Linked DNA regions of Bombyx mori. The protein of the gene in region 1 purifies or fractionates together with the protein of each later gene. This does not show direct contact. Links are inferred from orthologs where the notes say so. Each region holds a gene or a part of one and is shown in the gene's direction. Other genes may lie near its edges.

Evidence for each region.
Region 2: the proteins of high-affinity copper uptake protein 1 (region 1) and ubiquitin carboxyl-terminal hydrolase 32 purify together in Homo sapiens (co-immunoprecipitation; 3 studies listed by BioGRID and IntAct, with this or other methods). This does not show direct contact. The link is inferred for Bombyx mori from reciprocal best matches to the Homo sapiens genes SLC31A1 and USP32.
Region 3: the proteins of high-affinity copper uptake protein 1 (region 1) and syntaxin-7 purify together in Homo sapiens (affinity purification with mass spectrometry; 3 studies listed by BioGRID and IntAct, counting the BioPlex papers as one, with this or other methods). This does not show direct contact. The link is inferred for Bombyx mori from reciprocal best matches to the Homo sapiens genes SLC31A1 and STX7.

The regions. Positions count from the first base shown.
Region 1 is NC_085121.1:6,775,495-6,787,287, reverse strand, and holds the start of high-affinity copper uptake protein 1, read left to right. Parts: upstream 1-5,107; 5' UTR 5,108-5,488; coding exon 5,489-5,500; intron 5,501-5,754; exon of another isoform or gene 5,755-6,714; coding exon of another isoform or gene 6,715-6,717; intron 6,718-7,215; coding exon 7,216-7,320; intron 7,321-7,846; coding exon 7,847-7,966; intron 7,967-8,964; coding exon 8,965-9,077; intron 9,078-9,177; coding exon 9,178-9,300; intron 9,301-11,115; coding exon 11,116-11,145; intron 11,146-11,793.
Region 2 is NC_085122.1:14,148,065-14,159,282, reverse strand, and holds part of ubiquitin carboxyl-terminal hydrolase 32, read left to right. Parts: intron 1-586; coding exon 587-864; intron 865-1,297; coding exon 1,298-1,481; intron 1,482-1,559; coding exon 1,560-1,876; intron 1,877-1,979; coding exon 1,980-2,120; intron 2,121-3,570; coding exon 3,571-3,664; intron 3,665-3,912; coding exon 3,913-3,986; intron 3,987-4,083; coding exon 4,084-4,319; intron 4,320-4,392; coding exon 4,393-4,504; intron 4,505-4,621; coding exon 4,622-4,747; intron 4,748-6,198; coding exon 6,199-6,405; intron 6,406-6,484; coding exon 6,485-6,674; intron 6,675-8,892; coding exon 8,893-9,007; intron 9,008-9,077; coding exon 9,078-9,229; intron 9,230-9,301; coding exon 9,302-9,396; intron 9,397-10,092; coding exon 10,093-10,373; intron 10,374-10,519; coding exon 10,520-10,711; intron 10,712-10,779; coding exon 10,780-10,925; intron 10,926-11,006; coding exon 11,007-11,119; intron 11,120-11,218. UniProt on the Homo sapiens protein: Deubiquitinase that can remove conjugated ubiquitin from target proteins, such as RAB7A and LAMTOR1.
Region 3 is NC_085107.1:5,742,243-5,753,038, forward strand, and holds the end of syntaxin-7, read left to right. Parts: intron 1-3,406; coding exon 3,407-3,476; intron 3,477-3,676; coding exon 3,677-3,827; intron 3,828-4,792; coding exon 4,793-4,886; intron 4,887-5,789; coding exon 5,790-5,914; intron 5,915-6,588; coding exon 6,589-6,837; 3' UTR 6,838-6,899; downstream 6,900-10,796. UniProt on the Homo sapiens protein: May be involved in protein trafficking from the plasma membrane to the early endosome (EE) as well as in homotypic fusion of endocytic organelles. Mediates the endocytic trafficking from early endosomes to late endosomes and lysosomes.

The DNA.
Region 1 (11,793 bases):
GCATTCATTCCTACCTTTCAAGTTACTCGCATGGGTATCGTTAGAAATATTCCTACAGAATGGTCTGAAGAAGAAATAATTAATAATATCAGTGTTCCGTTAGGTTGCGGAAAAATCCTAAAAATTAGGAGATTAAGAAGAAAAATCACTGTAAATGATAATAAAACTTTTATTGACACAGAATCCGTGGTAATAACATTTGATGGACAGGTTTTACCTAAAAGAGTATATATGTGTTTTACATCATTACCAGTTGATTTATACATTTATCCTACAGTTCAATGTTTTAATTGCTGTAGATTCGGTCATGTTAGAGCTCAGTGTAGATCGAAACCGCGTTGTTTTAAATGTGGTCAAGATCATACAGGAGATTCTTGTAATGTAGAGGAGGAAAATGTTTCCTGTTGTCTTTGTAACGGCTTACACTTTGCTATAAATAAGAAATGTCCAGAATTTGAAAGACAAAGGGCCATAAAGCAGACAATGGCGAACAGTTGTGTGTCATACTTGGAAGCATGTAAACTTCATCCTCCAGTGTATAAATCGTATGCTGATGTTCTTTCTTCAATTCCATCGGATCGTAAGAATCATTCAACGTTTCATGAATCTACTGCCCCCAGCCCAGTAATTGCCAGTAAAAGTCCATCGTCATATAAAAAAACAGTTTTTATGAAACCTCGATCTCCCTTTAAAGGTGATAAAGGTTTTGATCAAAGGGCCCATAGAAATCTTACAAGAGATTACGATGCTCCATCTCCTTCTAATGGCTGTGCTTTAAAATTTAATGAAAATTCCGAATCTCCTGTGGCTGAAATAATTATTGCTCTTATTAATTTACTTGCTCCTAATAACGCTACACCGTCCAACGCAGCTGATATCATAAGACAAATTTTAAACAAAACATACAATGGCTCCACAAATAAAAAAGATGATTCAGTGGAACTGTCGAAGTATTCTAAGTAAAAAGTCTGATCTCATTCACTTAATAAATAAACACTCTCCAATCATAGTTTCTTTACAGGAAACATGGTTGAAAAGTATATATCCTTTCAAAATCAAAGGATATACCTGTATCCGTGAAGATCGTATTGACGGGTACAGTGGTGTTGCTCTTCTTGTAAATAGTGTTCTTAGCTTTAAACTTGTAGATATACCTGATCATAGTTTTGGTTTATCCATTATTGCGGTCATTGTAAATAATATATGTATAGTTAGTCTATATATTCCCCACCCTTCTGTAGAGATTTACAAAGAGTTTATAACTATTATTTTGAATCTTCCTAGACCAATCATAATAATGGGTGATTTTAATGCTCACCATCAAACATGGGGAAGCTCAATATCTAATGAATTTGGAGATATAATTCTTGATTTTGTTAATGAACAGAATTTGTGTATTTTAAATTCTGGAAGTCCAACTCGTAGAACTGGTCCTGATCAAATTGTTAGTGCTCCTGATATATCTATTTCCTCCCCATCTCTGGTGCCGTCTTTGTCCTGGAAAACATTAAAATTAAGTTATGGAAGTGACCACTATCCTATTATTATTTCATTTTCACACAATAACATAGTAATTAAGGATCATTCTAAACATAAGTCTACAATAAAGTACAACCTATCTCAAGTAACAGATGAGGATTGGAAAACGTTTCAATCGCGTTTGGATATTAAACTTGCCAACTGTGAAAATATTAATAACTTAGATTCTGATGCACAAGCAAAAATTTTAGCTTCTGCTTTTATAGAAACAGCTGATGAAGTTTTCCCTTCTAAAAGCCCTTCTGGTATTTTTATTCCTTCTCCTCCTTGGTGGGACCGGGAGTGCACTCAGGCGGTAAAGGAGAGAAAAGCAGCCGAATTATTATATTTAGAAGAAACTATTACAGAAAATTTTGATATTCTAACAGAAAGAATCAATAGTACTCGGAATCTTTTATTAAAAAAGAAACGAGAAGGTTTTAAAAAATTTTGTGCTTCGATTTGTCCTAATATCTCACCTTCTGAAGTATGGAACCAAATAAGAAGATTTAGATCTGCATATAAAGAAAATACAGTCAAAGACTTGCCTTATGATCTGGCTGACAAGTTTCTTGATAAATTAGCTCCCCCTTATGTTCCAGAAGAATGTTTAGTTCTTATCCCGTCTGTCCTTCCTTTCTCATGTTCAGATCCAGTTTCAGATTTTGATTTACCTTTTTCATTTAATGAACTGAAGGGGGTAATCTCGAATCTTAAGGACTCTGCTCCAGGTGATGATAAGATTCCTTATTCTTTCTTTGTCCATTTGAGTGATTCTAGTCTCACATATTACCTCAACCTTATAAATTCTATGTTCATTACATGTGTTATCCCAGAGTCATGGAAAAAACAAATTATTTTACCCATTCTCAAACCGGGTAAATCTTCATCAGATGTATTGTCATACAGACCCATAGCTCTCTCATCTGTAATGTTGAAAATTTTAGAACATTTAATTAAAATTAGACTAGAATGGTTTGTGGAAAGTAACAGTTTACTCAGTGACAGTCAAAACGGATTTAGAAGGGGTAAAAGCACAATGGACAATCTTGCTATCTTTATAGTGGATATTTTGGTAGCTTTCTCAAACTCTGAATCTATTGTAGCTGGATTTCTGGATATTTCCGCTGCATATGATAATGTACATATTCCTACACTGCTTTACAAATTACAGAAAATAAGGGTTCCTGTTAGACTTGCTAACTTGATTATTACTATAATGTCAAATCGAACTATCATTTTAAACTCTACCTCTTCAGATTCACAACAATCTAGAACTTTATGGAGAGGTCTTCCTCAAGGATCTGTGTTAAGTCCAATTTTATACAATATATACACTTGTGATTTGGAAGAGACCCTTGGAAATCAAGTAAGAATTCTTCAATATGCTGATGACCTCCTTATGTACACTTGCAATAAAGACATACATAAAGCTTGCTTATCCCTTAGGAATTCATTTCTAACTCTTAAATCTTGGTTAGATAATAATGGACTTTCCCTTTCTGCCTCCAAAAGTTCTATTGTTGTATTCTCTAGAAAACGTTCTCTTCCTCCAATTAGTATATTGTATGAGAATGAATTAATTTCTGTAAATAGTCATGTTAAATTTTTAGGTTTAATTTTAGATTCAAAATTGAATGGAATTCAACATTGTAATTACATTACAAACAAGTGTTTGAGTAATATGAATATCTTACGTTCTCTTGCCGGTGTATGGTGGGGTGCCCACCCATTCAATTTAAAACTTTTATATAATGCCATAGTAAGATCAGTTTTAGATTATGGTACTTTTTTACTTCAACCAGGGGATGTGAATGCTTTCAAAAAACTAGACACTATACAGTCTAAGTCACTCAGAATTATCACTGGAGCCATGAAATCTAGTCCTGTTACAGCATTACAGGTAGAATGTGTTGATCCTCCTCTTCATTTGAGACGTCAATATTTATCTGATAAATTCGTTTTCAAATCCCTACAAATTCAAAATAATCACATTATTACCAAACTTAAAACTTTAAATGAACTCATAGAATACTCTTCATTTTGGAAACATAAACAGTTACCATGTTTAATAATTAGCTACAGAAAATATTTGTCTATTCAAACTCCAACTAATCACTCTCATATTTTCCCTCTATTTTGTGTAAACTATATGGCATTGATTTTAAAACCGGATATTCATCTTGACATGGGTATTTCTAAGTATCAACCCCAACCAAATACTAACTTTAATTTTGTAATAGACCAAGACTGGAATGACTATAACCATATATATACAGATGCTTCCAAACACCCTCAAGGTTGTGTTGGTGTAGGAGTCTACCATTCGCAATCAAAAATAGTTGAAAAGATAAAATTACCATCTGAAACATCAGTGTTCACTGGTGAATGTTTTGGAATATACAAGGCCATAGAATACATTTTGATATTCAAACTAAAGAAAACTTTAATACTAACCGATTCAAAGAGTTCTTTACAGGCTCTTGCAAAATTTCCTTTTAAATCTCAACCGATTTACCCTATTCTCTTAGACTGTAGAAACCTGTTAATGAAATGTATGGATCAAAATCTTACAGTATCATTTGTATGGATACCTAGCCATTGCGGAATTAAAGGAAATGAAATAGTTGATAGAATTGCAAACGAGGCTATCAATTGTGGTGATATTTATTATTTCAAAAATTATAGTCATGATTTAGTTAGCCTTCCTAAAACATATTTGAATAATGCTTGGAGTGCACAGTGGTATAATGGCGTTAAAGCAAAATATTATCGAAGGGTACAACCAACCATTCCTTCCAAACCATGGTTCTACAAATATAATTTTAAACGCCACGAGACTTCCAGTTTGATACGGATGAGATTAGGCCACACGTGTAGTCCGGCACATCTAGCGACGATCGGAGTGCTGGATAGCAGTAAGTGTGAGTGCGGTGCGGACATTGGCGATTTAAATCACATTATTCTTTCATGTCCCCTTTTTGATCATTCACTTCTTTATAGTTCTTTATCATCACTTAGTATTCCTTTTCCTATATCTGTACCTTATTTATTACATACAGTAGACCCAGTTATTTATAAAATTATTATCTTATTCCTCAACAGTTTTAACCTAAAATTATAATTATATATATTATTTATTCTTCCTAATTATATTAATCCTAATCCAATTTTCCTGCCTAAACCTTATCTAACTTATATTTTCTGATTTGATTTTTGCTTCCTAACCTTTATTTTGAAAGTGGCAAATAACACTTGGTGTTGGGTCCAAAAAGAAAAAAAAAAAAAAAAAAAGTAGGTATGTACCTACCTACCAAGGAATAAAGTATAAAGTAATAGGTGCCAACAGACATTGCAATAAATGTATTCATAATTTCAGTTGCGGTTTGCAACGTACCACGTATTCTATTTTCATAAAGTTCGCTACCAATTAGACTAGGCTTTGGTGGTTTATATGATCACATTAAAATTCAAAACGCTTTTATCTTCGTAGTTCACAGTTCAAATTAATATTTACAAAAGTTGAAAGTTTCTTTGGTTTTATTGCAGTGCACCTACGTAGCCCCGTACTAGGTTTGTGTTTCATTAATTACTATCTATCGCCCAAAAATTGTAGAGCTTAATTCTTAATTTTATATTATGACAACTTTATGGTCAACTTAAATGAATAGTTAATGGTAAAGTTTTCTGATTAACCAAATCGCTTAATGCATTTTTCACATTTCGCGTATGTAGTCACCTACGTCTTTCATAAGCAAAATTGTAATCGTGATGAAAACAATATGCATTTTTATCACGAACATAATTATTTAATTAGAAATGTTTTGTTATCAATAATGATATTGAACGTTTTGTGACGTTTCCAATTAGAGTATTTCATTGAAAATTTTGATTTAATTGTAATCTTCCTTATTTTTTCACCAAAACTAATTTTGGCTTGCATTTGGTTACATTGGCAAGTTGTTTCATAATGGATTGTTATGTAAGTTGCTACCAATAATTTACACTTTACATCCACAATGATACTTTCACTTTAGAAAAGTAGTTGGCCCTGATACAGTTTGCCACTCATGACATACAGTGTAGTACTTTCTAAACAGAACACCTAAAACTAAAATTTAAGGTGAAATATCTTTCAATTAGTTTTCTCAGTACTTTCATTGTTGTATAATAGACTTGCGCAAAACATCATTTCCCAATGTAATGTGATATGACATCACTTTTACAGACAGGTGATATCACTCTTAACATTACTCGGTGCGTTAAATAGATACTGTGACGAAAACATTGTATCTATACACCCGAATCATTACCAAAGTGATGTGCTCATACTTTGTATTGTAATACACTATTATATGACTTGACTTACTTAATAATATAATAATTTTCTTTTTTACTTATAATTTATTGTGGGATGAACGGATTTCATATGGCGACTTAGACTGCAAATTGAGCTCAACAATAATGTAAATATACGAGAGCAGTAGACGCCATTCTTTCTTTCATTTATTAAACACGCATTAATTAATATAAAATATTACTAAACAATTAAGAGCGACTAGCGATTTTACAAAAGTTACGAATAAAAAATTAAGTAACTACTTGCGGGGAACTACCGGCTGGCCACATGAAAAATATAAACATAAATACCTATATTAAAATTCAGACGTACCATAGGTATAAAAATGTACCTAGCGACCAGGGCATACGGTTCAAAATCACTAGGAATAATTCCGTGTCGCTTGCTCATGTATTTTGCGTAGTGCTGTAGCACTGCACGTCAAGCCATCGCGTTGCAGCGTCGATCGGTCTGTCTCGCTCGCTCGGTTCCCTTCATATAATAAGCAACATTACACGACAAAGAAAGGAACATGTTGGGTGATAGTGTGATGTTTGTTTCCTTCGCGTAATGTGTGATGTTGCATTACATCGTAGAGTCATATTACCGGAGTAATATCACTCGCGTTACTTACACATGTCTATTGTATAATTTATCAAAATCTAACTTATTTTTTAACTTGTTCTAATTATGTTAAAAAAGATGTAACGGAATTATATCAGAAACTGAAATGTTGTTCTTGTAAATTGTTAAATTAAATATTAAAACTTATCACTTTTGTTAATTCATATTGCTTTGACTCTCATTCTAAAGCAAAGGCTGGTGTATATAAAGGCTTAGCTGATTTTTTAGTTAAAATGGTATGTTTCAAAAAAATTGAAGACAATTTTGTTCAATTATCAATTAATAAAGACTACAAATATTTCTGTAATAAAAGCAATGATTGACTGGACATAAAAAACTAAAAGCTAATAAATTTCCACTGATAAACAACTGCATTGTTCTGAGTAAGAATAATTACAATAAATGAATAGATAGCAGTGGACAAATAATAAAGTAATCTCAAGTGCACTATTTAATAATGATTATTATCAAAGGTTGTAAGTAACAATGGTTATGCTTATCTTGTACTGTTTTCAAACAAGCTCTGCTTTAATGATTTTCATAACAACACTACTTAATACAATATTGATATAAACTTTATTCATCAATATTTACTTTTTCATTATTTGTCTTCCTTTGAGCGGCGTTTCAATTGAATTATATAGTCTCACTGTTAAGTCTACAAATATTTCTGTCTGTCTATCAACATTTAAACCTAGTACTTTTCTGAAATTCATTTCAAACCTTTATTCCAGATGGACGAACATCATGAACACCACAATATGGATATGGGCCATGCTGGGCATGAACACCATGGGATTGATCATTCAAGACATATAGGCCACCAAATGCCTATTAATGTGAGTTAAAAGTAAATAATATAAATGATACATGATACTTTAAAAGTATGGAATCCATTGATATCAAGTGGACTATTCAACATCGTAAAGTATAGGAAAACAGCTGAGAGGAAAAAAGCACAGATGTCATTATGTTTTTTTTATCAAATAGAAAAAGTTTAAAAAATAATTGAAATAAATAAATAATTGATTACTTATTTCATTGATTTTATTCAAACAATTAAATTTGCTGCTAGTAGGCTTAGATCTTATTTGTTTTTTTTAATAAATAATTATTGAGTATGCATCAAACTTCAAATAAAAATGTATCATGCTTGTTCAAACTGCAAGATACATGGTTTATTTGTTCCGTTTTTTTACCTGCTATTATACTAACTAGGTTTTTTGAATAAAGCCTTAATTTGGATGGGTAGGCACTTAGGCCGTTATCTGCAACTGATCACAAGAATTCAATTACTATGTTTATTTTAGTGAATAATTTTAAGATGAAATGAAAACTGTGTCAAACAAATTGTAATTATTTCAGGGACTTCTTAATTCATCATATAACAGAATTGTGCACAACACAGATATGAATGATCACAATGTCCACACTTTTTCAGGCCATGGTGATCACAGTAGCCACAATATGGGCATGTCCATGACGGTAAGCAAGATATCTCCTAATGTTTCTAAAACATGTTTCCTTGTTGAATTGTTTTTTAAAGGGATTTTATGACCTGGTAACTGAGACCTTTAAGTCATGTCTTATTTTAATTTATATTCATATTTTTTATGAAAAATGATATTATGGAGTGAAATGAAATGAAGATGATTAATTTGAGACACTAATCAGCTGGGATGAAATTAAATGAAATGAAATGAGATGATATAGGATGAAATATAATCTCAGTAAAATGGTGGTCATTTACCTACTAAGATTTTTTCAGTGGACTTTTTGGAGGATCCCGAGAAGTTACGTCCAGAGGCTTTGTTTCATTTTCCCACATTGGTGCACTTTCACAGATATTAAACAGTTAATAAACCACCATTATTACACATTTAAACCTGAAGAAACACTAAATAGACAAAACAAAACAAATTACACAACTTCACTCCTCGCGTTCCCGCCAAAAAGTCCTTTCCTTGTTGAATATGCATTTTTGAGTAGATTAGCATGCTGTCTTTATCTATGTAGAGAGTAAGTTTAGAATAGCAGCACCCCATTTCTTTGTGGTTGTCAAAAAAGAGACTGAGGCTTATAGGAGATGGCCAGCAGCTTTTTCTGAGTATTATACCAACGGATTGTGATCGCCAACCGGCATTTAGTAGGAACTAGGTAGCTTGAAGTCATCATGGCCATAGGATAAGACGGTACATTCGTATCGAGCGATACGACTGGGTCGGTGCTGTTTCTGCCGTGAAGCATAATGCGTTTCGGTTTGAAGGATGGAGCCTCTGTTGTACTGAAAAAACAGACTTAAGCTCACATATCAAGATAGGGCTGCATTAACATAGTTCATGTCTATGGTATTCAGTGACCATTTAACAACAGGTGGTCCGTGAGCTTGTCCACGTGTCCATTTCTATGCAATAAAATAAAGAAAATTTTCTCCTGGTCAACATTACTTAAAATTTTCAACATAAATTTTATTTCATTTTTAGTTTCACGGTGGCTACATTGAAACTATTCTCTTCTCTTGGTGGAACGTAACAGAAGTTGGTGAATTTGTGGGATCATTTTTTGCAATATTTATTATAGCTTTGCTCTATGAAGGGTGAGATATGTTTATAAAATGCAGTAAACAATAATAAAAACAAAAACACGAGCCTCATTTCTGAGTTTTTATGCTGAAATGTTACGTTTTTGTGTTGCAGCCTTAAATATTATAGAAAGCATTTACTATGGAAGACATATGCAGGACTACAGTATTGTGCCGTAGCACCACCAGACAAGGGAGTTGCCAATATTTGTGCAGCAGATGAACCACAAATTGTACAGTAAGTATAATCAAATTGAAAAAAATTAATCAAAACCTAAAAAGATTTTAAACCTTTCCAAAGGTAATGTCTTGCTTAATTGTACATATCTAATGATCTTTATCTGTTTTCGAACATTCTTAAAGTATAAGGTCATGTCGTAATATGGTGAAAATAAATCTAAAATATGTTACCAACATGTCAACTCAGTACTCATTTTATATTCAAATTATTTTAAAAACCCAACCTCTCAAACTTATGTGAACAAACACAGTTGTACACACACTGACTAGCACACGCAGTACACTTCCTTATTTTTAGTTATCTTTAGTGTGTTAACATAATGGTCTCTCAACTTTAATAGAATCACATAGTTGATCGGCGATTCGTCGGATGCGTGTATCAAAGGGTTAAGGAGAACGAGGGAATTCAGGAAATAAATTTCTACCCCTTCTGTAATAGGTGGGCTTCGGATAGCCTGCCGATCGAGAGGGCTGGTGGTCGTGGCGCCGACGACCACCGGCCCGGCGTCCCGAGGGGGAGGGTGATGGGAGAGATGTGCTCCGCACTAAACACTTCACTTTACCCCCTTTGCCTATTCATGAGTTCTCTCATGCGAGGCTTGGACGTGGGTTTTTGAACGACAGCAGGTTTTAGTCAGTTAGACTCCGGCATGTCCCACCGTCCATCCTCAGTGGAGGGCGGAAGTCCGGCGATTTCCTCCTAACCCAAAAACAAAAAAAAAAGAAACAATGCGATACCATGGTAATTGGCTTTCTTCTGGTTACTAAACCTTAACGTTCAGAGCATTTTAATGCGGTCCCCGCTCAGCTACGTGGGATCTATAGTGTTGGGAAGAAGTGAAACGCAAATATCCGATGTAAGCAAATTAACGTTTTTGTCAAAAAAGAAAGTATGTAAATCGCAAGATCACACGTAAGACTTAATCTAATAATATAGGTAGATTAATATTTTTACAAAAGTATCCAAAATTTTACATCACATCATAGATTAGATAAGAACATTTTAAGGCTATGTTCCGATATACACTGCCAGCACTGGTAGATGCTCTTAATAGAGAGAAATTCGTTCCGGTATGGACTGACAGTATAGTCGCAGTATTTTAGGGAAATCTATGACGTCATAAATCGTCGCCATTGTTCTACTGTGAACACAGGTGTTTCCGAAGCAAGGTGCTCTCAATGCTTTGATCACGTGATCACTTTTAACCCCATTTCAATAATTCGGTTATTAAGACATTACATTCTACATTAAATTGTTTAAAAAACTATATTTTATTTTATTAAAAAGTATACTTACTTTTATTAAGCGATTAATTCAGCTGACAATATCTTAAACACCTATTTCTAAATATAACCAAATTTAAACAATATTTTTTTGTGAAAGTGAAAAACATCGCCAAAAAACGTCGATGACAGAATACTATACTGCATTACACTACGTTAATTTTTAAAACGGAAATGTAACCGGTATAGCTAACTATAAAGGAACGGCTTCGCACTTCGCAGTAATAAATTAACGTCACACCTTTAGTGCTCGCAGTGCAAATCGGAACATAGCGAATATAAACAAACCAAACTATAAACTATATAACTCTACTCTCAATCGCGGTTTTTTTTTTAAAGTTGTGCACTGATGTTTACTGTCCCATAAATTAGCCTTTCCATAGGTAAAATTAAATTAAAAAACACTAAGCATGCTACTATAGATAGTGTTGTTATCTAATTGTAATTTTTTTTTTTTTATCGCCAGAGATTATTCGCTACTCGTTTCTTCTGTCTCTGTGTATCATTAATTACTTATTTTTTGTTTTAGGCCAATTCCTCATATGCTTGAAAGAAATGTGTAAGTACCAATCTGTATTGTGGATGAATAAATCGATTGTATTAGTAAAGGCCGTTCCAGTCTTCAAACTGAATGCGTGTTTTCTTCGCAGTCAGGATGGTAGTGCCTATCCATGCAAGCTTATTATATTCTGGTATCACTGGTAAATGGCGGTTCGCAATCGCATTTCTAGGTATAATACTCTGAGAACACTGCTGCCCAATCTCGAGTGAATCCCCTATAGTCTCCTTATACGATACGCATGGGAACAGATGAGGTGGTTAAGACAGACACCACACAAGGCATCTACTAATCTTTAAAACCTAGTTTTACCTTAAAAACGTTTGCCTCATAATCATTAAATAAGTTAATGTTACAGAAATCTCAAGATTTAAGTGTAAAATGAAATTTATTTTACTTCTAAATGTTAATTGGCCGTTGCCTAACTGAAAATCAAACAGGTACACCAAAAAGATTCGATAAGAATTGATTAAAACATTCGATTAATAGAGAGGATTGCAGTAGGGTAAAGTATTTTCGCAATTTTGTTGATTTCAAAACATTTAAAAATAGCTATGTTATTGATTCATAGAATACCTATAAATCAATAGCCATTTGATTATTATGTGCATACTGCAACCCCTTGAAACAATATGACCGACGCTTACA
Region 2 (11,218 bases), on another chromosome or scaffold:
ACAAATTTAATGTTCACGATTGACTTCCACGGTGAAGGAATAACATCGTGTAATAAAAATCAAACCCGCAAAATTATAATTTGCGTAATTACTGGTGGTAGGACCTCTTGTGAGTCCGCACGGGTAGGTACCACCGCCCTGCCTATTTCTGCCGTGAAGCAGTAATGCATTTCGGTTTGAAAGGTGGGGCAGCCGTTGTACCTATACTGAGACCTTACAACTTATATCTCAATGTGGGTGGCCCATTTACTTTGTATATGTCTTTGGGCTCCAGTAACCACTTAACAACCAGGTGGGCTGTGAGCTCGTCCACATATCTAAGCAATAAAATAATAATAAAAACAATTCAAAACTAAAAATTGATTACAATTTTTTTGTAAATAATTATATCGTTACGTAGATAAATATTAAATAACAATGCATCAGCGTAACAATGACATTAATTGTACAATTTTTATTCTTATTTGTGTTGCTTTACTGTCCCCCCAAACGTTTCCCCGTCCTTGTGACGTCACGCGCAGGGAGACAGTCCGCGGGCGCGCGGCTCCACGTGGCACATGTTCAAGTGAGCTCGTTTTGTCTATAGTTTGCTTCAAGATCTTCGATCTGGACAGCGATGGACTCTTGAATAAAAAAGAACTCATCGATATGGTGAGTGTCCTGTGCGAGGTGGCCAACGAGAACCTCAAGAACCAGGGGTCCAGATCCTCCACGCCCGATGGGAGCGAGATGGGGATCCAGAACTTCGACCCGGACGTGATCCTCGCCAACTTGAGGGACAAGCTGGTCGTCGCACCCAAGAACGGACGGAAACCGAACTTCCACCTCGGACCCCACGGAGATACTGAAGATATCATTAATGTGGTCAGTTCTATTCATTGGTACAATACAACGATAGAGTGATGGAGGCACAGAACAGGCGACATGTGATAAGTGGTCGCCACCCCGGACAGTAGCTGGACGCGGAGCCCGGCCACATGTGAAGCCTGCTCCACACTTTAAAAGTGGTGACACATATTTTGAAGAATTAAATTCTCTTCCGGGGTACCTCGAGACTCCTTGAAATATTTTTTTCCAGGCACTTGTTGCAACTTGTTACTGAGACTTAGCCAGACAACCACATATACTTATTTTTCTATGTTCCATTAAAACCAAGGTATTAAAACGTGTTGAAATTGTACTTATTGAGCACGAATCGGATGAGAGAGACATCGGTGTACAGTCGAAAGAGTCTAGATCCAAAGAAGTTTCAACAAATTCCGGTCGCGACCTGAGACGCTCGTTACTAACTTTATAGCCGGAGAGCAAGGCCGATGGAGACGTGCTGCTTCCGGAGACGGTGCTGACGCTGGAGGACTTCCTCATCTGGTCGGTGGAGAGCGCCCACGGAGTCGTGACGCCCTTCCTCGACCTCGTCTACCAGGTGTGCCACATCGTGCTGGGGCTGCGGCCGCACTGCCGACACAGCGAGAGGGACATCGGTCAGTACGCGTTGCCCCTCCCCCTCCCCTCCCGCTTGTTGCATCGCCTCCTAACGGCGACGTGTGCGCTGATTGCAGTGCTGGGCTGGCTGCGTCGCTCGGTGGCGCGGGGGTACAGCGTGGGACAGTTCTGGTACCTGGTGGCGGCCGAGTGGTGGGGCGCGTGGCTGGCCTACACGGGGGACGCGGCGGACGCGTGCTGCCGGCCCGCGACGCTGGCCGACGACAGCTTCATGACCAACTCCACGGAGTCCATGGGCTCGCTGCTGTGGCGCTGCGAGACGGCCTCCGTGGACAGCGCGGGCTCCAGCAGCGGCGTCAGCAGCGCCGCGTCGCCGCGCCGGCACCCCGGCTCCGTGCGGAACAAGCGCCTGCTGGCGGACAACACGCTCAAGGTCCGTCCCGCGCCGGGGCCCGCGACCCACGACACTCCCTCTCGGAGGAGAGCTCACGGATTTATTTGCTTGTAAAATACAAAAAATATAAAACATTGAACAGGTCCGTACGCTAACAGGCGAGGGCGGCCACCTGCGGCGCGACGTGACGCTGGCGCAGCACCGCGACTTTGAGCTGGTGCCGGACGCGCTGTGGAGGGCCCTGGCGCTCTGGTACGGAGGACCCGACCCTCTGCCCAGACAGGTTTGCTTTATCAACAATCATCCCTTTGCTTTTCTTTATTTATTTATTACGTGTACGGGTGACCGAGCTCACGACACATTTGGTGTTAAGTGATTACTGGAGCGCGCAGATATCAATACCTGAATGTCTCGCCCACTTTGAAACATGAGGTCTGGGTTCCCAGCTGCCTAGTATAGCGCGGCTGCCTCGCCCTTCAAACTGAACTGCACTGCTGCTTCACGACAGAAACAGGCAGGGCGGTGGTACCTACCCGTGCGGGCCCACAAAACGTCCTAGCACCAGTAGTTATGCAAATTATAATTTTCGGTATAACTTTTAATACACAATGTTATTCCATTATTGTGGAGGTCAATCGTAAACATTTGTTTAGTTCGTATTGCACACTACCCCTGCGGACCCGCAGCCCACGACGGCTTCAAAGTCGAGCTCTGCTGCGTTAATTTCTAATTAAGAAAGAACATATCGGGGCTTTCGGCTACAGAGCTGGCGGTGCCCGGACCCGGAGCCGCGTATACTGCGGACTTTTTGATCGATGTTAACAAACAATTTAAAAAAAACCTTTATTTTTCAATTAATAATTGTGTAGAATAATTGTTTTATGGCCGAGAATCTCTTGGTATAGTTCCAGGGGGTCACAAGGCACTGTGTCGGGGACTTCCTGTTACAGTAACCGTTAATAATGTAAACTATGAGAGCTGTAGTTTGAAGTAGTATATAATAGAATTATTTTGTCCGTGCAGCTTGGGTTCGTAAAAAATCGGAGCGGTGCAGCGAATATTTCGCTCTCTCTTCCACTCACGAGCCTTATGAACGGGCATAGTGATACGCATTATTGTTGTCGATAAGCGTTATCGATAGTGTATTTAGTTTTGTCATTTTGTGGGTTAGTGATAATAATGAAAGAAAAAAATCACTAATCCAACACTTACGTCACATATCGCCGCAGCAAGTTAAAGAGAACGGCAGAAATGAACACTTTGTAACTTTTCGGGATTTATTCTCATTTCAGTGAAAAATTTTAACACATTGTTGATAATAACACATGCTTGTGCTGGTATATTTTTGCCAACAAGCAAAATATTTGAATACATTTTGCCGTTTTGGTACAAAACAAAGGAGTAGCCATTGTGTCACTAAAGAAATTCAGAGAGCGAATGCACAAAATCGCATTTCTCTTTGATATATGTACTATAATTTGCAGGTAGGTTCAACAAATTACTCATAACATAACAATGTCTCACCACCCTACGTATGCCACCCCGCCGCCGTGTACCTGCCTTCGATGACTCATTTATTTTTATCGATAATGCCGTTGCGCCCGCACAACATGCCCCACCGCTCTAGCCGGGCTATGTTTTAAGACCCGAACTGCACGGACAAAATAATTCTACTATAGTGATTCAGTGATACAGATGAAGCACAGTGAATAAGCTGGAGGTCTGCGTTCCAGGTGATAAGGCCTCCGAACTCTGACGTGGAGCTGGAGCTGTACCCGCTGCAGCTCAAGATCATGCGGCACGTGCCTGCCGCGCTCGGCACGCACGGTACGCACCCGCCGCCACTACACTACTAACTACACATGCCTTTGTAATGCCAACGATGGAAGACTTTACGGCCGCTCTTTTGGTAACTGGTTACCGTCCGCCGGGGACGTTGATAAAGTCGGGTTCGTAGCTTCTCAAACTTCTTTTGAAGAAAGAGATGCGACAGCAATCAGGGAGGAACGTCGACGGTCGGCCGGTGAGCGGTAGAGGTGGGAACGGTAGACAAGTGTAGTGCGTCCTTGTCGCAGGCTCGGCGGGCTGCGTGCCGGACCGCCAGCTCGCCTACACCGCCGCCTTCTCGCGCCTCGCCACCATCCGCCAGGTCGGTGCACACCACGCTTGCTTCTGTTTTGTTTGCTGTATGCACCCGTGTGTCGAGTCTGACGTTACCTCATCAACTTGTGTACCGGTGTGTGTAGGTTTGCGAGTTTATATGCGGCGCCTTGGGTCTGGCACGAGAAGACATGCGCCTGTGGCTGCTGGGGGGGCAAGGGGGGGGCGTTGCCGGCGCGCAGGCGGGGGGCCACGCGGGGGGCGTGCTGCTGGACGACGAGCAGCGCACGCTGCACGAGCTGCACCTCGACGAGCGCTCCCGGCTGCTGCTCGAGCTCCGGAACAAGGACCTCACGTGGCCGGAGGAGATCGGAGCCATCAGGTACGCGACTCGGCGGAGCGCGCCCGCGACTCAGTCGCCAACGTACATTCACTGAGAGTCTGTTGTGTTCCAGCTCCAACCGCGCGACGGAGAGACGCGAGACCCTCATCGCCCCCAACCTGCCGGGAGCCACCGGCCTGCACAACCTGGGGAACACCTGCTTCATGAACGCGGCGCTGCAGTCGGTCAGTCAACGTACCCGCCTCGAGGCGTGAGGTCGAAGTCTCGGCTGCACACTGCGACAGTTGCCTCACAGTGTCTCATGGAGTGTACTGTAATGCACCGGCACCGTGTGTCCGCAGGTGTGGAACACGGGCCCGCTGACGCGCTACTTCAACTCCGGCATGCACCTGTACGAGGTGAACCCCGGCAACCCGCTGGGCACCGGCGGCGCGCTGGCCGTGCGCTACGGGGAGCTGTGCAAGGAGGTACCGGGTGTTGAGCTGTGGAGGAGTTCCCGCACAGCTTTCATCTTATATATCGGCGCAAATATAACGATTCACCTACTTACTATAAAAATAATAACGATTGAATGTGATAATCGAATCATCTAATCTTCAACTAATTATAGTAACCGGCAAACATCTTGAGCAAATGACCTTGACTGCGCAGAACCGAATTTTAGATCACTTTGGTGGTGAGGGTGAGGCGCGACGGCAGGGGAAATCGTATCGAGCGCGTTATTGGTAGATCAGTCGAACCTTGCGTCCCGCACCGCGCCCTCGTTCCGCTTGCTCCCAAAAGTACGCTTGCGTACAGTGAAAAGTCTATCGTTATTAATCGTTAAGTTATTTGTTATAATTACTTGTGGACTTTGTTGCCATTGCTATTTGTTGAGTGTTTGTTGATTTTTTATAAACATACACTATGCCGCGACAAACCGGTGTAGTATTCAAAAGAAAGGGTAGAAAAATTGTGTACGACGTATATTGCTTCATTATAAAACAGGGGAAGAATAATATGGAAAAATTAAAACAAACTTCGGAAGTAACAAAACCATCAGTGAGTACTGTTAGGTGCATTATTAAGGAAGCTAAAGGCTCTGGCTTGCTCGCCGTGTTTCGGACTCCGGGTAAGAAAAGATCAGGAAAGAAGAAAGTTACCGGAATGGATAGTTTCGTTCAATCTGTAATAAAAAGATGTAATCATAATAACTACATAACAAGCAGCGAAACTCCGTACCGTAGAAAGGCTTCGAAAATTTTAAAGAAGATATAAATTTTAATGGCTCGGAATGAAGCTTACGACGTATTATGAAAGAGCTAGGCTTTAGATGGAAAAAAAAGAACAGAAAATAATCGGAAGCTGGTAATTGAAAAAAGTAACATTCGATTACTACGAATCGAATATCTTCAAAAAATAATTAATTATAGACAAAAAAGAAGACCGAATCGACCGAGTTGTAAACTACACCGATGAGCCCTATGTCGACTAATCACGATGATAGCGACTCGGGTGATGAAAACAGTGATGATGATGATGGGTCAAGATTATGATAACGAAAAAAAAAATACAAATACCAGCTTCGCTTCAACTGAACCAAGACCTGGCCACAGCTCTAGTTTTGACTTAATAGAAGGAATATCTATTTTACCCCAAGATTAAATTATTATAATTATTAACCTACATTTTTTGTTGATGATCTAATAAATATATAAAAAAATACATATGTTGATTTTAATAATTTAATAGCATTATGACGCAGAGTAAATAATGTTTTTGCACGTGAGTGTACCATGCGCAAACTTACCCCCACTACGTCAACAAATGCTCAAGAAGTTTGCCGGTTATTATACTCTGTGTTTATTACGATGAGAAATTGATGTTAAACAGTCCCCTTTATTGTAATGCTTGTAACCCGAGTGCGGTGCGCGCGCAGGTGTGGTCGTGCAGCGCGCGCTCGGTGGCGCCGCTGGGCGTGCGCTGGTGCGTGTCCCGGCACGCGCGCGCGCTGGCGGGCGGCGGCCAGCACGACGCGCAGGAGCTGCTGGCGTGGCTGCTGGACGCGCTGCACGAGGACCTCAACCGCGCGCGCCCCCCCGCGCCCGCGCCCGCCCCCGCGGACTCCGCCGGCCGCCCCGACCAGGTGCGCCCCGCCCCCGCCCCCACCCCCGCCCCGCCCCGCCGCGGCGTGCGCGGGGACTATGTATGCACTGTGCGCTCAGGTGGTGGCGGCCGAGGCGTGGGAGGCGCACACGGCGCGGAACCAGTCCATCATCACGGAGCTGTTCTACGGGCAGCTGAAGTCCAAGGTGCGCTGCGACACGTGCGGCCACGAGAGCGTCCGCTTCGACGCCTTCAACATGCTGAGCCTGCCGCTGCCCATGGAGTCCTACCTGCGCTGCGAGATCAAAGGTACAAGGACTTAACTTCTCAACATGGTCGGGCACACGTGGCCGGGGACTCTGCACTCATTGCGAGTGGACCACTGATGCTGTAACTAACATAAACTAAAGCAATTACAAAAAAAAAACATATGAAAATGTTTTTCTTTTGCGTTGCATAACATTTTTTTTATACCCAGACAGACGAGCATGCGGCCCACCTGATGGTGATTGGCTACCGTCACTCATGGTCGTAGCGATGCAAGGGCAGAGCCATGCCGCCGCCCACCGCTTCTCCACAACAAAGCATGCAAGCAAACGGCAAGAAAGTTATCTAGTTTTTTTCTTTTTTCGGCCCGGGGGCTGCACCTCCTACGAGTTGCCCGCGCCTAAAGGGCGCGCGGGGTTATAGGGTTTGACGATCTGAAGATGTTGGGAGCAGACCGCGGGCCCAAGGATTTTTAGGGCCCTACCGCATTAAACGACTCCCTTGCATTCTTACACCCGACGTCCGATCTCCGTCTGGGGTCAGAACCCGGTCAGAGTAGGGGGGTTCCCGCAGTCAACACTACAACCAGACACGCGGCGCCACCCCGAGGACGCCCGACCGACGGGTCGTCGAGGCGATAGTCGACAACCGACGACGCCGGTCTCCGCGGTACGGCGCCCCTACCAGGTCCGGGCGATGCCGCTGATGTTCCAGGATACCCCGTTGGGCCGGAACCAGCCTGCCAGGTCGGAATGCGATCCACCACCGACCGGGTTGCTCTTCCACAGTATGTTCGGCGACGACAGTGACGACGACAATGCGGACCGCATCGCAGTCCTCAGCCGCCGACGCGCCGTCCCGTCCTCCTGGTGCCAGCGCGCTAGAGTGACGGTAGCGTGCGGCGCAGCCTCAACCCCCTCAAATCGCCCCGTGACCATCACCGGGAGGAGACTACCTCCTTACAGGGTCGGAGCTGGATGAATGCCCTCCTCCGACTCCCGGCTCGGGGGCGGCGGCACGGCGCCAAGAGGGAAGAAGAGCTCTCCCTCTCCCGTTCCGCCGTCTCCTTGCGAGATGGTGAACTCGCAGAAGTCGAGCATCGCCTGCCTGGACTTTTCGCTGTCGAGCATCGTAGCCACGACGGTCGGCAGCGACAAGTCCGGTCCTATATTTGCAACGAGGACGCGGCGCTTCGGGGGCAGTGCGCGAGCGTGTGCCGCGCCGTGTTCTGCACTGTGTGTGTCCTGCACTGCAGTAGTGGCACTTCGGCGTCGGCTCCCTCCGGGCGACGAGGTGCAGGTAGCGACCGAAACAGCCGTGTCCCGTGAGCACCTGCGTCGCTCGGAAGGTGAGACGTCCTCGGTCGCGATTCACCCAGTCCGAGAGAACCGGGCGGATCGCCTCGACGGTCCGTCGCCGGTAGGCGGGGTCCGCCAGGCGGCGAGACCACGCCTCGAGCACGGCACGCCGAGATTGAAGCTTCCGCGCTCGAACTTCCGCCGCGCCGGGACGCGGCTCCCCCCTGGAGCGGAGATCACATCGCCACGCGTAATCCGCAGCGAGCGCCTCCGCTTCCAGGTCCCAGGGAGGCGTCCCGGCGAGCACGCACGCCGCCTCGAACGAGACAGTGCGACGCCGCGACGTTGTCGCGGGTCAGGGCGTGGCACCACACGGGAGCCTCGTACAGTGCCGCCGCACCACTATGTCGGGACCACCAACGTTCGGCAACAGCCGACTCAGCGAGCCGGCGGCCGCCATCAGTCAGAGACCCAATCTTTCGAAGTGAGCCCGGAAACTCCAACGACCGTCCAATACGAGACCGAGGTACCGCAAGCGGGTCGCCTCGATCTCGACGCGGACGTCCCCGATCAGAGGTGGGCCCCCTGAGGCGGCGCTTTGAAACGTGCGGGCGGGCCCCGTGAAACAACAGGGCCTGGGATTTATCGAACGCAACCTCCAGACCCAGCCTTCGAATCCTGCCGATGACGAGGGCCACCCCCGCGGAGGACAGACTAGCACAAGTCCCTCCCCCGGGCCAGGACCAAAGTGTCGTCTGCGTAACAAACTACACTCAGACCCGGGAGAGAAGCGCTAAGAGCGCCCCGCAGGACCCAATCATAGCCGATGTTCCACAAGAGAGGGTCAAGGACCGACCCCTGTGGAGCTCCGCCCCTTCCGTAAGGAAGTTATTTCCTAACGTAACAAACGTAGCGCCAGGAGAGCCGAGTGCACAATTGTAAATTATTATCAAACATTACAGTGATACTACTAGACGGATCGGTCCCCGTGAAGTACGGCGTCAGAGTCAACTCGGAAGGGACGTACCTGGACCTCAAGAGGAAGCTGTCGGAGCTGTGCGGCCTCCCGCCGGACCTGTGAGTACCGTGGCGGCGCCGGGCCCAGTGCGCGCACGGCGGCCCGGGCTCACGAGCGCGCGTGTCGCAGGCTGCTGCTGGCGGAGCTGTCCGGCGCCACCATCGGCCGCGAGCTGCGCGACGCCGACAAGCTGACGGCCGCCGGCGCCGCCGACCTGCACGCCTACGAGCTGCCGCCCCCCCGCGAGCCCCCCGCCGCCCGCGACCTGCTGCAGCCCGACGGTCAGTGCCCCCCGCCCGCCCCGCGCCCCGAGCCTCGCCCCGGCCACTACAGCCCACCCTCTCGTGTTGCAGGCTGGTGCGAGGAGGCGAGCCAGTGGGCGGAGGTGAGTGTGGGCCGCGCCGCCAATCCTTCCTCACTCTGCATGCCTGCACTGTTCTGCTTCAAGGTTAGCTCACACTCGCACATGACGCACACACGCCCGTGTCGCACACTCACACTCGCACGTGCCGCACACTCACACTCGCACGTGCCGCACACTCGTACACCAGCGCGGTACCGTGTAGCTATTAGAGTTGCGTATTATGTCGTGTTGAGTCGGTCCCGCGGGGCCGCCGCAGCTGAACAAGTGAAGGCACGTTCGGTGCGTGGAGGGGACGCCGCGGAGCCGCGGGGGAGAGTGGCGCTCGAGCGATGGACCCGATTGTACTGAGACGTTCCTTCCGCCTCGTGTCATGTTTCGTTCAACATTGGATCAAACATTGTTTTCCAATTCTTCAAATGCTCCCTCCGCGGCTCGGTTCAGTTCGATATCACATTAACAAGTGTAGTGCATTTTGTTGCGCCGCTACTGAAGTCATTCAGCGATAACTTGCAGAACTAAAAGCGATGCTTTTTTTATTGATTCGGCAAATCTGAAAAAGCTATCTGAATCCAACTAGAAATGACTTGTGAATCATCGCTCCCGGTCCCCGCGCGCCGCCCGTGCGTCGATTGTTATTGTTTAATAGCTTGAGGTTTTAGTTTGCGTTATTGAACCTTTATACACGTAACTGGCTCTGCTCCTCTCGTGAGCAGTCCGGGGACTGCGGCACGAGCGCGCCGGGGCGAGCTACCCGCTACTACTGCCGACCTGTACTTGCAGAGGTCGCGGTCGGAGATGCTCATGTCGCAGAGTCCGCCGACGACGTTCTACGAGAAGCAACACCACCAGGACCGACTCCGCAGCCAGACCCTGCCCAAAGACATGACCAGAGGAAACAGCTCACCCGCGCTCAGCGTCAAGTCGCTCAACGTGAAGCCGGCTAGCCCCAGACTGGCCAAGGTCAAGTTTGGCTCGTCTCCCTCCAACATGTACAAGATGAGCGAGACGGCAGGCCCGTCGCTCGTCCCCAAACAGACGAACTACCTGGTGGCCGTGCACAGGTGAGTGTCGGGGCGGGGCGCGGGTGTCCCCCTCCCTCCGCGCACTGGGGGCGGGGTGCGGGTGTGCCCCTCCCCCCGCGCACTGGGGGCGGGGCGCGGGTGTGCCCCTCCCCCCGCGCACTGAGCGGCGAGCGCGCGTGTTGCAGGAAGCAGTGCCGCGCCGACGCGTACTTCCTGTCGTCGCAGCGCAGCCGCCCCGCGCTGTTCGGCGTGCCGCTGCTGGTGCCGGTGGAGCCGGGCCAGTCGGGCCGCCAGCTGTACGCCGCCGTGTGGAGGCAGGTGGCGCGCCTGCTGTCCGCGCGGCCGCCCAGCGCCGACCTCAACCACGCCACCGACTGGTGAGTGTGTCCCCGCGCGCGGCTTCCCGGCTCCGGCGGCCAGTACTCACGGCTCTGTGCGGTTGCAGCGACGACAGCCTGGGGTACGAGTTCCCGTTCACGCTGCGGGCCGTGCGCGCGGACGGCGCGTGGTGCGGGCGCTGCGCGTGGCCGGCGCTGTGCCGCGGCTGCGCGCTGCCGCTCGACGACCGCCCGCTCGTCGCGCACGCTGACGGTACCCCCCCTTGTCTATACGCACGCATTGTAACATTCAATAATGTTGTTACATAATGTGAATAATGATTGCCGTGAACAGGTACTATACCCGTGTTGAAGAAGCGGTCCGGCGAGGAGCCCCCGGACGAGGAGCCGGGTCCGGCGGGTCGACCGCGCCAGCCGCCGGGCGCGCGCTCCGCCAGCCGACCCGACGTTAGTGCACGCCTTACTGTAACTGCGAACTCACCAATTTCAGGACGTATTAAGTATATCTGGTGTAGTTGTGACGCCTGCTAAAGTTTAATTTAACGA
Region 3 (10,796 bases), on another chromosome or scaffold:
CAAAACTTTGTGGAGTTATTCGTGAAACTTTCAAAATGTCGCAAAGAAAAAGAAAACAAATTAATATTGAAGAAAAATCGCGTATTATGTAAATATATTTTTCCAATAATTCCCTATCGATTTGTTTGTACTTTCACGATACACATTATATACATCACCGGTTGTTACGACTATCGGTTTTTACGACTTAATATGAGCAGTCCCTTCGATGTCGTTATAACAGATTTTGACTGTAGTTGCTATTTGTAAGTAAACAAATATAAATATTAAGAAAAAAGTTTTATGAAGTTAGATAAAATATATTAAAATTAGGATAATGTTTGTCCTTAAACATATGCAAAGAAAAAATCAGTCTACATCAAAAGTAAAGTATGCTTTATTGTACACCAATATCTGAACTTTTACTACATACATAATTGTTATGTATGTAGCTATATGTAATAATAAAAATAAAATAACACATGCACATGTGTACCAATCATATAAAATAAATAAAGATACAAAACGTTAAACAAAAGAACAGTGGTGAAATCACAAAGAGAGGCCTCTTGAAAATAGCCAATATGTGAGCAAGAATTTTTGAATGAAAGGAATTTACTGAGGTGTACTTATCAAATAAAAAAGAAAAACAGAATAGTATTTTAGTATTTACAAAATTCATCATTAAAAATGCATTTTGATAGTTATGTTTATACCAAAGCATTTGAAGTCTTATGTTAGAGCACAGCATATGCCAGTTTGATTTGAACAATTCTTTATGCATTTTTTTTTCTACCTATGCTGATAGCCTTGAGAGGCTATTTCAGCTTCACCCTAACGTTTGTAGGTGAGCTCGCGGGGCTCAACCGGAGAGTTGCTAACACTGACCCTAGCAAGAGCAGTGCTTCGCAGAATCTACCACCGGATCGGAAACGCGACCCACTGAGAAGATCCAGCGAGAAACTCAGTGGGCTGTGTCTATGGGTTTTTTGCATTTTGTCATTCAGTTATTTATGAAGAATCTTAAATAATTAATAACTAACATAAGTACTTTTAATAAATTTCAATATATAAAATAATAAAGCCTTTTGTTCAGACAACAGATTTACAATTATCTTTCTTATACTACTGCACTTTTATGTATTTAACACAATTAAAATTATTCACATATTTGGTGCTTCTTTACTTTCTGTAAATCCATAGGCTGTTGGCAAAGGCCTCCTCCAACCTACTTTATACTGATCTCTTTTGATCTTGTGTAATTGTTTTAAAAATTTTGCAATTGTTTTCTTATGTGGTTGGAGGATTGTGCTCCTTTTCTCCTGCAAGGACTTGTGGCTTGCAGGAAATTGTGTTATTTCTTTTGTTTGGTTTTCATAATTTGGTTGGATTATCCGTTTGGCGGCTGTTATTGGTTTTTATGTGTGAGGATATGAGTGGGAGGGTTTGATCGGATTCTCATCAAATCGAAGGCGTTTGTCCTGTGTGTTGTGGTAGCAAAGGCTTTCTCTTTTATGTAACTTCCTAAGCTACCAATATATAGATTCATTTTAAGCTCTGTATATTTAGTTTACTTCCATAAATAAATTAAGGTCTCTTTTAAAGTACTCTTTAACAGTTTGAAATAGTTCTAACATGGATTTTTCGAAATTGTTAATATGAATTATGGCAATGACTTTGGGAAATTACTCTTTTAATACTCATGTACATAATATAATATATAATATAATATAACTACTTTAGTTGTAGACGTAGTAGTAAAGAACTAGAAACAATATTACAGTGGTCTCCACAAATAAACAAAACCCATAAAAACTTGCTAGAATGTGCTATTTTGCAATGTGAAATTTAATTAACAATAAATTGGCTTTAGAATAACATTACAAATTAAATTTTATTTATATTTTAATCCTAAGAAGTATATCGTATTTCACAATTCTTAATTTAGTAGTATATATAATATACGTATACATACATTAGAAAATGAAATAAATTGATTGTATAAGGAAAAAGCAAATGAGAAAAATAGCTAAAACTTTTCACTTACTACCTATATAATTACTGTTGTACATTTTCCTTGTACATAAATCATGTTTTTATGTAGTTGAACTTCATTAGTGCTTATCAGGACTGTTAATATGATGGCTCTGTTAATTGAAATGATTATAATAATGATAAGAAACATTAAAATTTAAAATTAAAATTTGCTAAGCTTTAAGTTTTTCAGTAATTTTCAAAACTAAAAATGTTCCCTGAAATCTGAACTATTATTTTATATAATACTAGCGACCCGCCCTCGCTTCGCTTCGGAAACATTAAAACACACATGAAACCTAAAAAAAAAAAAAAAATTAAAAAAGTAGCCTATGTTCATCAGGGACAATGTCGGCTTCTAATGGAAAAATAATTTTTCAAATCGGTCCAGTAGTTTCGGAGCCTATTCGAAACAAACAAACAAACCAATCTTTCCTCTTTATAATATTAGTATAGATTATATTTCTACTATCTAGTAAACAAAGGCAATCGTTTAAATACATTATCCATAAAATACATTATTCATAGGTAGATGAGCCCAGAAATCCAAAGGAATGCCACCATTCACAATAGGGCATAGTGTGGATCTCTCAATTATATTGTATAAAAGTTAACCCTTCAAACAGGATTAAATTGTGGCAGAAATAGGAACTCATTATAATGTATCATTAGTAATTAACCCTTTTTTTTCTGATTTTCATTTATACCTAGATTGTATTTCTTCATGGTTGTACATGCTCTTTTTTATTTAAGTTGGTGAATGAACTTACAAAGCTGTTACTGAAACCTATTGAGCAATATGAATGCTGTCATCCACTTTGAATCATTAGGTTCACATCTCAATTGTATTGCACAATGGCTGTTCAACCTTTCCATACTGTAACACATAAGTTTAACTGGCAGAAATAAGCAAGAGGGTAGCACCTACCCATGCAAGCTCACAATATTCCTTCAATATTTAATTTAGATATACCTCAAGTCTCGAGTGAAGTGTGTGGGATAATAATATGGTAATCATTAAATATTAGGTGGGTTTTGAGTTTCTTTATCTCTCTATACAATAAAAATAATCATAGAAATCATTCAATAATATCTGATCTATATTGGAATTTACCAAAGGATCTGATGATACTATCCAATGGTAAAAGTACTTGGGGTATTGTTACATAAGTTTCAAAGTAAGCAGTATTATCGAAATACCCTTGCACCTAAACTGTAAACTTATCAATTATATTGATGGATCATAATTAAAAATGAAAGTATCACTGGTTAATACAGTAGGATGCAACCATTAAGTTGTAACATTATACCACCTACTACATTTTTAATTAACAATTAGGAGATGTTAATCAATATTTTGTTGTACTCATCCCAGAACCATAATTCTTTTCAGTATCCTCAATGTCAAAGATGGTCAATCAGTTACAAACACCTCAAGACTCCCAAGAGCTTAGGGCTCAGTTGTAAGTTTTACTTTCATACTCTGCATTTTATTTCTTTTGTGTTTAATTTAATTAAAAACATTGGCATATTAATTTGCCTTGTTTATTTCACATTAAGCAGTATCATCAGCTTAGAAATTATAACTGCAATATACTTGATAGAGATTTAGCATATTGTTTTCTAAACATATCTTAACTTAAGAATAACTTTTTCATGACAGACGCCAAATACAAAATTACACTCAGAAGCTGGCAAAGGACACTTCCTCTTTGTTAATGGAGTTGATGAGAATGCCTAAAGATAACGCTGCCAACAAACTTACCAGAGAACGACTCAGTGATGAGTATATTGCCACTCTTAATAGTTTCCAGGTGTGTGCTTAATTTATTAAATATCGTTATTGTGACATTAATATATTGTTAACTAACCCGCCCTCACTTCGCTTCGGAAACATTAAATTTTATTATTGATAGCCGAGTCCCGCGATGTTACCCGCGGTTATTGTCGTATCGCGGGTGACACCGCGGGGCGAAGCTAGTTATACATATAAACATTCCTCTTCAATCACTCTGTTTATTTGTTTATTATTATCTAAAAAACCGCATCAAAATCCGTCGCGTAGCTTTAAAGATTTAAGCATACATAGGGATATAGAAAGTTAAATAGCGCATAATAGTATACAAAAAAATTGTATATTAAAAAAGAAAACAAAGTATAACTCATGTTAAGTAGGTAATAGGGAGTAAAATAGTAATAGCTTGGAAGACTAGTTCATTCAAGTATTTCTTAAGAAAATGAGAAGATAAAATTATAAGCATTAGGTAATTGGCCAGTTCTGTCTATAAGTAATCTTAGCGATGAGTGATGCAGAATTTCGTATTTTTCAGAAATTCAGAAGTTTTAATGTTTACGCAAACGTTAGGAGTAAAATTAAAAAATTAAATTAATATTAATATTCAATAATTTACAAACATTATGTATCGCCAAATAATAATATATTATCTATCTATCTATTACAAATGATAATATATAAAACGGCTAGACGCGTCTCTAAAATAGTGCACAGTCAAGAGTTTGTTATTCATTGAATTTTATGGTTAAAAAAATTCTTTTACTATTTATTTTAATCTAATCGTCTAAAACATAATATAAATTTGTTTTGAATTTATTTGTCCTGCAGTATTTTTTTCATTAGCATAACTGTATAGCAACCCTTTATTAAGTCCAAACATATTATAATATGGGAATGTGTACTTGCTGGTATTTGTAACATTCTATTATATGTACAATCTTTATTTTTTAGACTAGAAAATATATTTTTTATTTATTTTTTCAGGCAACACAACGACTCGTTGCGCAAAAGACAAAAGAAGATGTGAAAAAAGCAAAGGCTCAGTCTATAAATATTGGGGATCCTTTCGCTATGGGGAGTAAGTATAAACTTTTTCTCACATTACTAAAAAGTACTAAAAGTACTAAAGTAAAAAAAGTATGTACTAAAAAGTAAAAGTCATATATCTATTACAAAATAGAAAAGAGATTACAATACAACGTGAACTGTTCCATCAGACAGAGGTAGTAGTAGAACTGGCGATCCCTAGCACGACATGAAAGAATAAGTCACGTTTGAGAAATTAAATTTCACCATTCCTTTTTTTTGTATTGCTCGCAATTTAATACAATTCAAAATAACTAAGGCTCGGGGTCAACTTTCTAGAGGGAACGAACACGAAATATAAATCTAACAAAAACGAGTGTGTGTATGCGTGTGTGTGTGTGTAAACAAGTATGTTTGTGCAATAGTTCAGTAATTAATAATCTTATGCTTCGACTCCTGGGATCTTTTGCAAATAGTCTGTAGTCTATTATTCGTCTACAAATCAAGTCCACGTGTGACCTGAAATAGCGTTTGGATTAGACCAGCAGTACATCAGGCTATTAGAAAATTTTAGTTTTCTCTTCGGAAATGGTCTCCTAAAAATTTGAATTAATAACGAATTAAATTTACTGGTGGTAGGACATCTTTTACTGGTGGTAGGACCTCTTGTGTGTCCGCGCGGGTAGGCACCACCACCCTGCCTATTTCTGCCGTGAAGCAGTAATGCGTTTCGGCTTGAAGTGTGGGGCAGCCGTTGTAACTATACTTGAGACCTTAGAACTTATATCTCGCGGTGGGTGGCGCATTTACGTTGTAGATGTCTATGGGCTCCAGTAACCTTAACACCAGGTGGGCTGTGAGCTCGTCCACCCATCTAAGCAATAAAAAAAAATCATAGAATTTCAACATACGGAAAATTTGACCTATTTACATAATTATGATGTTGTTTGTGTAGACAGTAACAAAGATTTGGTAGAGATGACCGAGACAGATGTCCGTAAGCAGGAGCAAATGAATATGCAAGCTGAACGTTCTCTCGTCGAATTGGAGGAACGCGAAAGAGATATTCGGCAACTTGAGGTATATATATTTCATAATTTAACTAAACTCCAAAAGAAATATCATAATCATATCTATTAAATTTTATTATTCGCCCAGTATCGATCATGATAAAAAGAGGTTTTTTTTTAAATAAAACAAAAAATTAATTTAATGAATTTGAATTCTAAAATGAATGCCTGTAATGTCTTATATTAATGTCAAATGGAGAATAGATTAATATTGTTTGTCTTTAATACATACTACTTATTTATAGTGTAGGTACCCTTGGCGAAATCTGTGGTTATAGAAGTAAAGTTCATTGACAATAGAACCATCATAATGTTAAAACTTATAATTTAAATTAGCTTTTCCCAAAATGGGCGATAACGCCGCTTTGTGGGCGTTGCAGGCCTAAAGGGGGGCGGTAAGAGACCCAGAAAAAAATGGGGGCGTTGTGTAGAGGCTTGGGAGGCGATTTGTAATTTCATCTAGGAAGACTCTTAGACACCGGCTGAGCTCTCGCTATAGTGGTTTTGAAGTAGTTGAAAAAATGGGGGCGCTAAAAATAATTTATTCTCAAAGTGGGCAGTAGACAAAATAAGTTTGGTAACCCCTGATTTAAATTAATAATTATAGTCGAATTTCGACTACTGGGCGGCCACTAGTTAAAGTAATTGTATTTAAGGAATATCAAATCTGACCGTTTGTTTTAGAGTGACATACTAACCGTTAACGACATCTTCAAAGAGCTGAGTACAATGATACACGCTCAAGGCGAAGTTGTGGACTCCATCGAGTCTAGTGTTGAATACACGGCACAGAACGTCGAGAGCGCCACACAGCAACTCCGGGAGGCTGGGAATTACAAAGTAAATATTATATTAATACTTTATTTTAACAGTAACCTACATTACACAAAAAGAAAAACATACATCAGACATATGTATTATAATACTAGCTGACTCGGCAGACTTCGTAGTGCCTCAACCGATAAATAAAAGACCTAAACTTTTGTATAAAATAAATTGTTTTTTTTTTTTAATTTAATTCCGAGCATTTTCATATTTATCTACCTTTTAAAACTTCTCTGGACTTCCACAAATTTCTCTAGTTTTAGCGAGACTAACGAACAGCTATTGATTTTTATATATATATAGACTAGCGGACCCGACAGACGTTGTCCTGAAACAATCATTTAAGTCGGTCCAGCCATTTAGTTGTAATATAGATAAATAGTCTAGATACCGACTGCAGCGCCATCTACCGGGCTGATTTGTGAATCTAAACCATCCAGGGCGCCACCCAAGCGCATACAAAAAAATTATTCAAATCGGTCCAGCCGTTTAGGAGGAGGAGTTCAGTGACAAACACACGCATAGAAGAAATATAGTCTTTTCGCATTAAAAGTACAATTTCCAAAAATATTCGAAATTGAGTTAATATGCGGAATCATTTGGTATGACCAGTATTTTTCTCATAAATACTGTCCAAAGAGCGTATTTTAGTTTTTTTTTTTTTTTTACTTTACCTATGTTTTGACTACTATTAACAAAATTAATACATAATTTTATCTTACTTTAAAAGACACATAGTGTAGCTGGTAAAAAATAAAATAAAAAAATGTTGCAAAGATGATTAATATTAAAAATATCACATGTTATAGACCTTTAAAACACTCTCCTGTAAAATTAGTAAGTTTTGATATTATACAGCTTTAATGCGAGAATACTATATATCAATAAAGATAAAAATATTAATTATTGAAAACTTGTGGTACGTTTTTGTTGTTTACGTGTATTAACTTTTTTTTCCAGAACAAACTGAGGAAGAAGAAAGTCTACTTGGCGATAATATTGATCATTGTGGTGTCAATAATCTTGATCGTTTTGTTCCACAACTAAACACAGCTTCGAGATGATATCGTTGCTTTTGAAAAACGTAAATGTCTTTTAAAATAAATAAATATACGTGGATTAAAATAAATAATGACATGTTTTGTACTATTTTCTAATATACAGTTGTAATGTGAATTGTGATACACAATAGAAAATACAGAATTATTCGCAATCCATCATGTAGAAGGATTGACACTAAGTAAGAACACAAAACAATTCCGTAGGTTTAGTTTATAATTTGTTTTCGATGTGTCGTATATGTAATACCTTTTTTTTTTAATGACCAATAATGTGTAGACTATATTAAAAAAATTCGGACTGTTCCTTTAACGTTTGCTACAACAAAAATGAATTTGCAAAAAATACTACGTACAAAAAACTTATGTTCGTTAATATACACAAGGGATTATTAATTGCTTTTTATTATAATAAATAAATAGCAAAACTGGTAGCAGCGTTTTGAAGACATCTCGATATAGAAAGTATAATATCATGTAAAATAGATATTTACGTCATTTGAAAGCAGCTTCGATTTTTGTACATTATTTAGCCACCAGCGTTCTGCTGTTATTGTATATATACGATCATTTAGTCATAAACTTTATTAATATATTATTATCACTTACGTAACATGCATAGCATATTCATTACGTGGCTGCAGTTAAACTCAGGTCTTTTCTAAGGTGCGTAATGACCGTGACCAAAAGGGGGGGGGGGACTATACGCGAAACTTTGTAGATGAGGATGATGATCATGATCTAACGACTGGACCTTGTTTACGATATGCTTTATACGTATACGGAGAAAAGTTTCAATAGCATCAAAACGGCAAACATGACCATTTAACAAATAACCATATAATGTCCATATTTTAATGCCATTTTCCGTTATGAGGTTTTCACTAGTCGTAGAATGGAACACTTTCCACCTACTAAGCAGACAGACGTGATCACGAGAGTTATAAAGTTTTCCGAATAGATTGTAACTTGGTATGTTTACTCAGAATTGAGGGTTTTAAGAAAATCCAATTTCTTTCGTTATTGTAGATCACTAGCTTGTTGGTTTTTTTTCCTACGTATTCTGGTAACTTCGAGGGGTTATACTATAGATTCTACGAAATTAGTAGGTGAGCTCACGGAGCTCTAACCTGACGACGTTGCTAACACTAACCCCTTACAAGAGCAGTGCTTCACAGAATCTACCACCGGATCGAAATCGCGATCCACTAAGAAGATTCGACGAGAAACTCAGTGGGCTGGTGTTCTATTCTACATTGAGAAATACATGTTGTTTTTGACAACGCCATTTGGCTCATCGTATCCCCCCTGGATACACACCCCTGGAAAGACCTCAGTTTAGCTGTAAGACTGAAGTTAATATTAGTTCTAAGCAGTTTACTCTTAAGGTGCTTCTGCAAAGATTGGATTGTGTTAGGATCGGTCCCGTTTTCAAAATATCCTAAGCGAATAGAAAATAACAGGAGGATATATATAACGCTTCAAAATAAATATAATATCAGTGTGATTCATAAAACAAAAACAAAAAATGACTTTGATTTGAAGAATTTAAAGTACAAGTTTTGTTTTTAGAATTTATATTATTCTTAAATTGGCTGGGTTATAATAATATAATATCTATTGTTTATGGAACGAGGTTAAGCCGAGCCAGTGGCCGACGATTTATCATCGTAATTATATTATTATTATTTGAATAAAATGTTAAATAAATAATATATGATTGATCTAAATAAAGACGTGGAAGCATCTCAAGATGATTGATTGATTATAATTTAAAATTAATTGAGAAATTGTAAAATTAATAATGAATTGTTCATCACGTAATAATATCTTTGCTGTGGTGCATTAAAAATATTTAAACTAGTGAATTGTTTATATTGTTTTGCCATTAAAATGGTTTTCAAGCGTCGCATTTGTCGTCAGCTACCTAAACATGAATATTTAAAATAATTTTTTCTGTATATTTTGTTCGGACATGGATATTATATAAATATACCTAAAAAAAATTAAGCTACCTAGTAATTTGTAAGTCATGAGAATAAAATAAGATTTAATCATAGTAAAACAGATTGGTGGCGATTTCATGATCACAAACACCCGATGGACACTTGTAAAGTTGACAACAATAAAACATAGGTAGGTACAGAGAATAAAGGTTAGGGCTGCTATTGCGAAGACATTAAAATATGTATGTACGTCTTCACTGAAGGATATTCACGAAAGAGCATCATATTACGAAGCGAGGTCATTAAACTATTTTAATATAATTTATTGAATTCTTGATTTACGTATTGAATTTCCGGATATATAAATTTATATACATACACCATTGCATACCAATTTTGTGTCCGGTGACAGACCCCGCAGCGTGTCCTATCCGCCTTTGATTAGAGTCCTCCATCGGCTGCATAAGTGAGACGTTTGCTTACAAGATGTAACAAGAGAGAGTGAGAAAGAAAGAGAGACAACATCAAAGAGAAGTTCCATACATTTGACAATATTTACTCGAGTCAGATTTTTAAGAAATGTTTCTAATATGTATATCGCTACGGGTAAATTCGTTTGGCTATTAACAATATTAGTCATGGCTGATCCACTTTCTTGATCTTATCCCTGCACTTAACCAAATCTTGAATGTACATCGTAATAGTTTCCTTTCAAGTTCCTACATCATTATGACTTTATATTTCCTATTTTCTCTCTTCGGTTTGAAAAATCATATTTTACGAAACGTTAGCAATGATGTTCTTTATAAATTGTACGATTATCATACGAAGATTATCATTATCATACGAAGTATTCATATTATGTAATAAATTGGTTTTTTTTTTTTAGTTATAGTTTATATATTTAGTTATATGTATATTGAATGTTATTTAAACATTTTATTCATGCAGACAAAAAAAACTTATATTGCGGTATGAAAATCGTTATATTAATATAATTATAATATAAAAAAGGTTTTTGACTATTTGTGTGTTCTGTTTCGTTTTGATGGTTGTTGTGTTG